Macaca fascicularis: one gene and its partner. The protein of the gene in region 2 interacts with the protein of the main gene of each other region in a biochemical or structural test. Links are inferred from orthologs where the notes say so. Each region holds a gene or a part of one and is shown on either strand. Other genes may lie near its edges.

The links.
Region 1: of the proteins of RNF20 (region 2) and histone H2B type 1-B, one has a biochemical effect on the other in vitro, tested with the Homo sapiens proteins (2 studies listed by BioGRID, with this or other methods). The link is inferred for Macaca fascicularis from reciprocal best matches to the Homo sapiens genes RNF20 and H2BC3.

Annotation. Positions count from the first base shown.
Region 1 is NC_088378.1:146,884,689-146,888,954, reverse strand, and holds the start of histone H2B type 1-B, read right to left. Parts: upstream 2,849-4,266; 5' UTR 2,796-2,848; coding exon 2,419-2,795; intron 1-2,418. UniProt on the Homo sapiens protein: Core component of nucleosome. Nucleosomes wrap and compact DNA into chromatin, limiting DNA accessibility to the cellular machineries which require DNA as a template.
Region 2 is NC_088389.1:56,540,864-56,544,508, forward strand, and holds part of RNF20 (E3 ubiquitin-protein ligase BRE1A), read right to left. Parts: intron 3,052-3,645; coding exon 2,839-3,051; intron 1-2,838. UniProt on the Homo sapiens protein: Component of the RNF20/40 E3 ubiquitin-protein ligase complex that mediates monoubiquitination of 'Lys-120' of histone H2B (H2BK120ub1).

The DNA of each region.
Region 1 (4,266 bases), on a different chromosome or scaffold from region 2:
AAAAAATTTATGAAAGAACATATGACAAAATAATATCTGCTTCAAAACTTAATATTTTTAAATTTTTTTTTTAATGAGTCAGGCTGTTTTTTTGGGGGGGTGTGTCTCATTCTGTCACTCAGGTTGTCACGGCGCGATCTTGGCTTGCTGCAACCTCTACCTCCCAGGCTCAAGTAATCCTCCCACCTCAGCCTCTCTAGTAACTGGAACTATAGGCATATGCCACAACGCCCAGCTAATTTTTTGTAGAGACTGGATTTCGCCATGTTGCCCAGGCTGGTCTCGAATTGTGAGCTCAAGTGGTCTGCCTGACTAAGTCTCCCAAAGTGCTGAGATTACAGGCATGATGCACCTGGCCCAAAAGTTCATTTTGCAAATGCTTATATTAGCAGGTCTCACTTCTCCGGGGAAAGATCCTAAATATCAGTTTCTTAAACTGCAGCCTCAATTGCTTAGTAATGTTTTGGGGGAGGTGGTCGTTTTATAATTTTAAAAAAAATTATAGATTTTTTAAAACACAAGCGTCTCTTTCACAACGGTAGTTTGCATATACAGTACTAGGATGGGAAGTGCTTCACTTACAGTTGTTCACTGACATTTTGTGTGGCATCCAGATTTTTTTTTTATTTTTGAGACAGGGTCTGTCCTCACCCAGGCTGGAGTGCAGTGGTGTCATCACAGCTTACTGCAACCTCCACCTTCCAGGCTCAAATGATCCTCCCACTTCAACCTCCCCAGTAGTTGGGACTACAGAAATGTGCCACCAGGCCTGGTTAATTTTTAAATTTTTGGTGGAGACAGACTCACTAAGTTGCCCAGACTGGTCTTGAGCTCCTAGGCTCAAGTGATCCTCCCACCTTGGCCTCCCAAAGTGCTGGTATTACAGGCGTGAGCTGCACCACACCCGGCCCAGAACCTCTTTTAAAATATTCTTAAAAATTAAATCTGGGCCGGGCGCGGTGACTCATTCCTACGATCTCAGCACTTTGGGAGGCCAAGGCGGGAGGATCACTTGAGCCCAGGAGTTCACTTGACCAGCCTGGGCAAGATAGTAAGACCCTTTGCCTCCACAAAAAATTAAAAAATTAACTGGGTGTGGTGGCGCATTTCTGTAGTCCCAGGTACTCAAGGGGCTGAAGTTAGAGGATAGCTTGAGCTGGAGAAGTCGAGGCTGCAGTGAGCTATGATGGCACCTGGCCAACAGAGCAAGACCATTTCTCAAAACAGAAACAATAACTGTTTGAGAAACTTTATTTCTTCATCCGAAGACACTGCTGAATGTCACCTACATATAATGCCCGTAAGTTCACTTAAAATACTCCCCTCCGATTCCCCCATCCCCTCCTACTTAGTGTGCAATCAACAGGTTCTTTTCTTCTTCCATTTCTTCCCCCAGCCCCAGACCAAGAATTGGCCCATTAAGTCCTCCTCAACTAGTACCCTTCCTGCCTTTTTCTAGCTATATTGTTTTTGGCGTCCCGGATTTCTTGAAAAATGCTTCCCTCTCCAAGTGGGGCCTTCCTAGTATCTTTGCAGTAGGGCCAGTTGGGGAAAGGCACAAAATTCAAACCCTTTTGTATCTCGCAGAGCTGGAAATCCGAATTTTAAGTGGCCTAGGAAATGGGAATCTGGATTTCTGGGATGCATGAAATATGTAAACTACATAGCTGTTGTCATTGATAAACAATTATAACGCAAAACTACTGCGATTTCATTTTGTGGAACGGGAAATATTCCCTACAAAGGCGCCCGGGAAATCAGACTTCGCTTACTGTTTCCTCAATACTGGAGGAAATCTTTCCTTCTTACTGGAGGTAAGAATTTACAGCATAGGCAAACTGCAGGAGCAAATATCCCTACACGCCCTTTTGTCGCTTAGACTTTTCTGCTCCCCTCCCCCTCATCTCAAGCGGTTAACGGCTAATGACCCCCATAGAAACACTGTACCCTGAATTGCATTACTTGTTTCATTATCCAGAAAGGAAAGTTTCCTGTGCTAGACCAGGGAGGGAGTAGTGACCATATCAAATGAATTACAACTAGTACCCGAAGGCTTACCCAGGGGGAACAAAGAAGTTTGCTAAAGGCAGATGAGAAAGAGCGCCAGCACCCTCCTAACGTTTGTATTTTTAATAGAGACCATGTTGGCCGGGCTAGTCTCGAACTCCTGACGTCAAGTGATCCGCCCGCCTCGGCCTCCCAAAATGCTGGGATTAAAGGCGACAGCCACGGCGCGCTGCCCCAAGTTAACCTTGGCTCTAAAAGTTGCCTTCGCTAACATTCTAGTTGATCCTCTAGAACTGAAGCAGAACAGAGGCAGCACCACCTTAAGAAATTGTGGTTATAGCTCTCTTTGCGACAAAGTAGGTGGCTCTGAAAAGAGCCTTTGGGTTTGGAGGTGCTTACATAAGCACTTACTTGGAGCTAGTGTACTTGGTAACAGCCTTGGTGCCCTCGGACACAGCATGCTTAGCCAGTTCCCCGGGCAGCAGCAGGCGCACAGCCGTCTGGATCTCCCTGGAGGTGATGGTCGAGCGCTTGTTGTAGTGCGCCAGGCGGGAAGCTTCGCCCGCGATGCGCTCGAAGATGTCATTGACAAAGGAGTTCATGATCCCCATGGCCTTGGAGGAGATGCCGGTGTCGGGGTGGACCTGCTTCAGAACCTTGTACACATAGATGGAATAGCTCTCCTTTCGGCTGCGCTTACGCTTCTTACCATCCTTCTTCTGCGCCTTAGTGATGGCCTTCTTAGAGCCCTTTTTAGGGGCAGGAGCAGACTTAGAGGGTTCAGGCATCGCTATTCCTAAAACAAAACAAAAAAGCTACTAACACTCTCCAGCAGAGTAGTAGAGAGAACAGTTCAGAGCCCACGTATTTATAGTCCTGAGATTCAAATGACGGTTTAAGATTCCTCACTTCTGATTGGATAAAAGAAATACAGTTTCACTGAGGGGTGGGGTTTATGCAAATATGGAATTTATGGACTCTTTTTCTATTGGATAAAGCAGGAAACATAATTGACCAATAGGATAACTCTCTATTGCAGCCTTGCAGTTTGTATAAAAGTATTTCTTCAGGCGCCATTCCATCTTGCTTGTTTTTTACAGTTTTCAGAGGTCGCTGTGTTTGGACATGGAAAACGGAAGTAAAGCACAAAGTTGTTCATCGGTACCAGCCTTGCAGTTTCTAGTAGCGCAGGGTCCATCGTCTTTTTCGAAAGGGCAATTATTCTGAGCCTGTCGAAGCCGGCGCGCCGCTGTACTTAGAATACCTGGCCGCCGATATCCTGGAGCTGACACGCAGCGCCATACGTGACAAGACCCATAGCATCCCCCGCCACTTGCAGCTGGCCTTCCGCAACGACGAGCAGCTCAACAAGCTGCTGGGCAAAGTCACTATTACTCAGGGAGGCGTCCTGGCCAATATTCAGGCCGTCCTGTTGCAAAAATAACCGAGAACCACGATAAGGCCAAAAGCAAGTAAAGCCCACTCAAGCCAGAAAACGTACCTTAAACTTGCTACGGCATTTTTCAGAACCGTCCATTGTTTCACAAGAAAGGATGGTAACTTGCTTGTGTTTCGGGTACCTTTTGGTTTTGGTTTGGATTGGTTTGAGACAGAGTTTCGCTCTGTCACCCAAGCTGGAATGCCGCCGCGCGATATCGGCTCACTGCAACCTCCACCCCGCGGCTTCACCAGGTTCTCATGCCTCAGCCTCCTTTGTACCTGGGATTACAGGCGTCTGCTACCACGCCTAGCCAATTTTTGTATTTTTATTCGAGACGGGGTTTTCACCATTTTAGCTAGGGTTGTCTTGAACTCCTGGCCTCAAGTGATCCTCCCATCTTGCCCTCCCAAAATGCTGGGATTACAGGCGTGAGCCACGGCCCCCCTAGCCTAATGGTGTTTAAAAATTAAGTTTCGAGGAAATATCTTCTTTAAGAAACTACATTTTAGAGTATACAAAGTGAAACTAAAGCCAACCAAAATAAGACAGTTTGAGAACAGTCAGGGTGGGAATGTGACTTGGACTTAGAAAACGAAGGATAAGGAAACTGGCTGTTGACCAGTAACAAAATAGCATGGAATTCTCATTCTCTGAATGTAAGTAGTTTCCGACATGAGGCAGTCAACGTTTCTGGTGGTTTAGTGAGTGTTCACCAGCACTGATAACTTTCAAGACTGTCAGGAATGCAGAATTTCAAGTCCCACGCAAACTTACTGAATCGGAATTTACATTAAAAAAATCCGTAGATGCTTTGTTAT
Region 2 (3,645 bases):
AATAGATGCAGAAAAAGCATTTGACAAAATCCAGCATCCTTTTATGATTAAAACCCTCAGCAAAATCAGCATAGAAGGGACATATCTTAAGGTAATAAAAGCCATCTATGACAGTCCCACAGCCAACATTATACTGAACAAGGGAAAGTTGAAAGCATTCCCCCTGAGAACCGGAACAAGACACAGATGCCACTCTCACCACTTCCATTCAACATGGTACTGGAAGTCCTAGCCACAGCAATCAGACAAGAGAAAGAAATAAAAGGCATCCAAATTGGTAATGAGGAAGTCAAACTGTCACTGTTTGCTGATCACATTATCATATACCTAGAGAACCCTAAAGACTCATCCAAAAAGCTGCGAGAACTGGTAAATGCATTCAGCGAAGCTTCAGCATACAAAATTAATGTGCACAAATCAGAGCTCTGCTAAACACCAACAGCAGCCAAACTGAGAATCATATCAAGAACTCAACCGCTTTGACAATAGCTGCAAAAAAAATAAAATAAAATATTTAGGAATATACTTAACCAAGAACGTAAAAGACCTCGACAAGAAAAATTACAAAACACTGCTGAAAGAAATCACAGATGACACAAACAAATGGAAATACATCCCATGCTCATGGATAATAGAATCAATATTGTGAAAATTACCATACTGCCAAAACCAATCTACAAATTAAATGCAATTCCCATCAAAATACCAACATCGTTCTTCAAGGAACTAGAAAAAACAATCCTAAAATGCATATGGAACCAAAAAAGAGCACGTATAGCCAAAGCAAGACTAAGTAAAATGAACAAATCTGGAGGCATCACATTACCTGACTTCAAACTATACTATAAAGAAATAGTCACAGCCAGGCGCAGTGGCTCACACCTGTAATCCCAGCACATTGGGAGGCCGAGGCGAGCAGATCACGAGGTCAGGAGATTGAGACCATCCTGGCTAACACAGCAAAACCCCATCTCTGCTAAAAATACAAAAAATTAGCCGGGCATGGTGGCGGGTGCCTGCAGTCCCAGCTACTCGGGAGGCTGGGGCAGGAGAATGTTGTGAACCCGGGAGGCAGAGCTTGCAGGGAGCCAAAATCGCGCCACTGCACTCCAGTCTGGGCAACAGGGCAAGACTGTCTCAAAAAAACAAAAAACAAAACAAAACAAAAAAACCCACAGTCACAAAAACAGCATGGTACTAGTATAAAAATAGGCATATAAACCAATGAAACAGAATAGAGAACCCAGAAATAAAGCCAAATACATACAGGCAACTGATTTTTGACAAACCAAACAAAAACATAAAGTGGGAAGGGACACCCTATTCAACAAATGGTGGTGTGATAATTGGCAAGCCACATATAGAAGAATGGAACTGGATCCTCATCTCTCACCTTATACAAAAATCAACTCAAGATGGGTCAAAGACTTAAATCTAAGACCTGAAACCATAAAAATTCTAGAAGGCAACATTGGAAAAACCTTTCTAGACACTGGCTCAGGCAAAGACTTCATGACCAAGAACCCAAAAGCAAATGCAACAAAAGAAACAATAAATAGATGAAACTTAATTAAACGAAAAAGCTTCTGCACAGCAAAAGAAATAATCAGCAGAGTAAACAGACAACCCATAGAGTGGCAGAAAAAAATCTATACATCCAACAAAGGACTAACATCCAGTATCTACAAGGAACTCAAACAAATCAGCAAGAACAAAACAAACAATCCCACCAAAAAGTGGCTAAGGATATGAATATACAATTCTCAAAAGAAAATATACAAATGGCCAACAAACATAAGAAAAATGCTCAACATCATTAACTATCAGGGAACTGTACATCAAAACCACAGTGCAATACCACCTCACTTTGCAGGAATGGCCATAATCAAAAAATAATAGGTGTTGGCATGGATATGATGAAAAGGGAACACTTTTACACTATTGGTGGGAATGTAAACTAGTACAACTACTATGGAAAACAGCATGGAGATGCCTTAATGAACTAAAAGTAGATCTACCACTTGATTCAGCAATCCCACTTCCAGGTATCTACCTAGAGGAAAAGTCACACCATGGAATACTACTCAGTCATAAGAAGGAACAAAATAATGCCATTTGCAGCAATATGGATGGAATTGGAGACCAATATTCTAAGTGAAGTAACTCAGGAATGGAAAACCAAACATTGTATGTCCTTACTCGTAAGTAGGAGCTAAGCTATGAGGATGCAAAGGCATGAGAATTATACAATAAACTGTGGGGACTTGGCAGAGGGAGGCAAGGGACAAAAGACTACACATTGGGTACAATGTACACTGCTTGGGTTGTGGGTGCACCAAAATCTTGGTATCACCACTAAAGAACTTACTCATGTAACCAAACACCACCTGTTCCCCAAAACTATGGAAATTTAAAAAAAAAAAAAAAAAGTAAAATCACACATACCTCCTAACCTCACCCACAACTCATCCCAATATCCAGAGGTAATGATTCTAACAGTTACTCATGCAGCCTTCCAGAAATTTTTAAAATACACAGCACAGGCACACAAGTAAACATACACTTTAATGCAAAAAGGGTAACAAAATAAGTCAGTTGATTTTATTTCAGACATGTTTCCATATTAGCAGATCCATATTTGACAGCTACACTGTACTCTTTTGTAGGAATAACAGTAGAGATGTATAATTTACTCACCAATACCCTAATGATGAACATTTAGTTTTCAAATTTTTTTCCATCACAAAAAAATGCCACAATAATCATTCTTTAATTTGTATCGTCATGTAGCAAGCGCCCTATTTCAATAGAATAGAAAGCTCTACTCATCTTAATTACCTGAGTCTTCAGAGTCAAAACCTGGTCTGCCAGCTCCTCCTTCTCTTCTTTAAGCAATTTATGGATCTGATTGGACTTGATACGCTCTGACATGAGCTTGAAATTTGCATCATCCTTCTCCCGCAATTGCTGCATCAAACGGATATTTTGCTCCTGCATGTCTTCAAAGGCCTGGCCTGTGACATCCATCTCAGAGAGGAGTGCTTCTTCTTCCTAAAGGATGGAGGAAGAGATTTCATTTTAGAAGAATCTTCCAACTTCAATGGATGAGCACCGGAAACTAAACTTTCCCACCGTTCACTTACATATAAATTAATTTAGTGACAGAGTTTTAAGAAGCTGTGTTTTGTCATTAGGCATACAAAAGCTCTATTATCTGAAGTCACTGGCACCAATTGTTGGTCTGATACTTATTAGTTGACCTGTATTCAAAGTCAGTTAAAGCAGACAATAATTGTATTTACCTTAATCTAGACAAACAGATCAAGCAGTAATTGGTTAAGAGTATTTCCGGCCGGGCGCGGTGGCTCAAGCCTGTAATCCCAGCACTTTGGGAGGCCGAGACGGGCGGATCACGAGGTCAGGAGATCGAGACCATCCTGGCTAACACAGTGAAACCCCGTCTCTACTAAAAAATACAAAAAAAAAAAACTAGCCGGGCGAGGTGGCGGGCGCCTGTAGTCCCAGCTACTCGGGAGGCTGAGGTAGGAGAATGGCGTAAACCCGGTAGGCGGAGCTTGCAGTGAGCCGAGATCTGGCCACTGCGCTCCAGCCTGGGCAACAGAGCAAGACTCTGTCTCAAAAAAA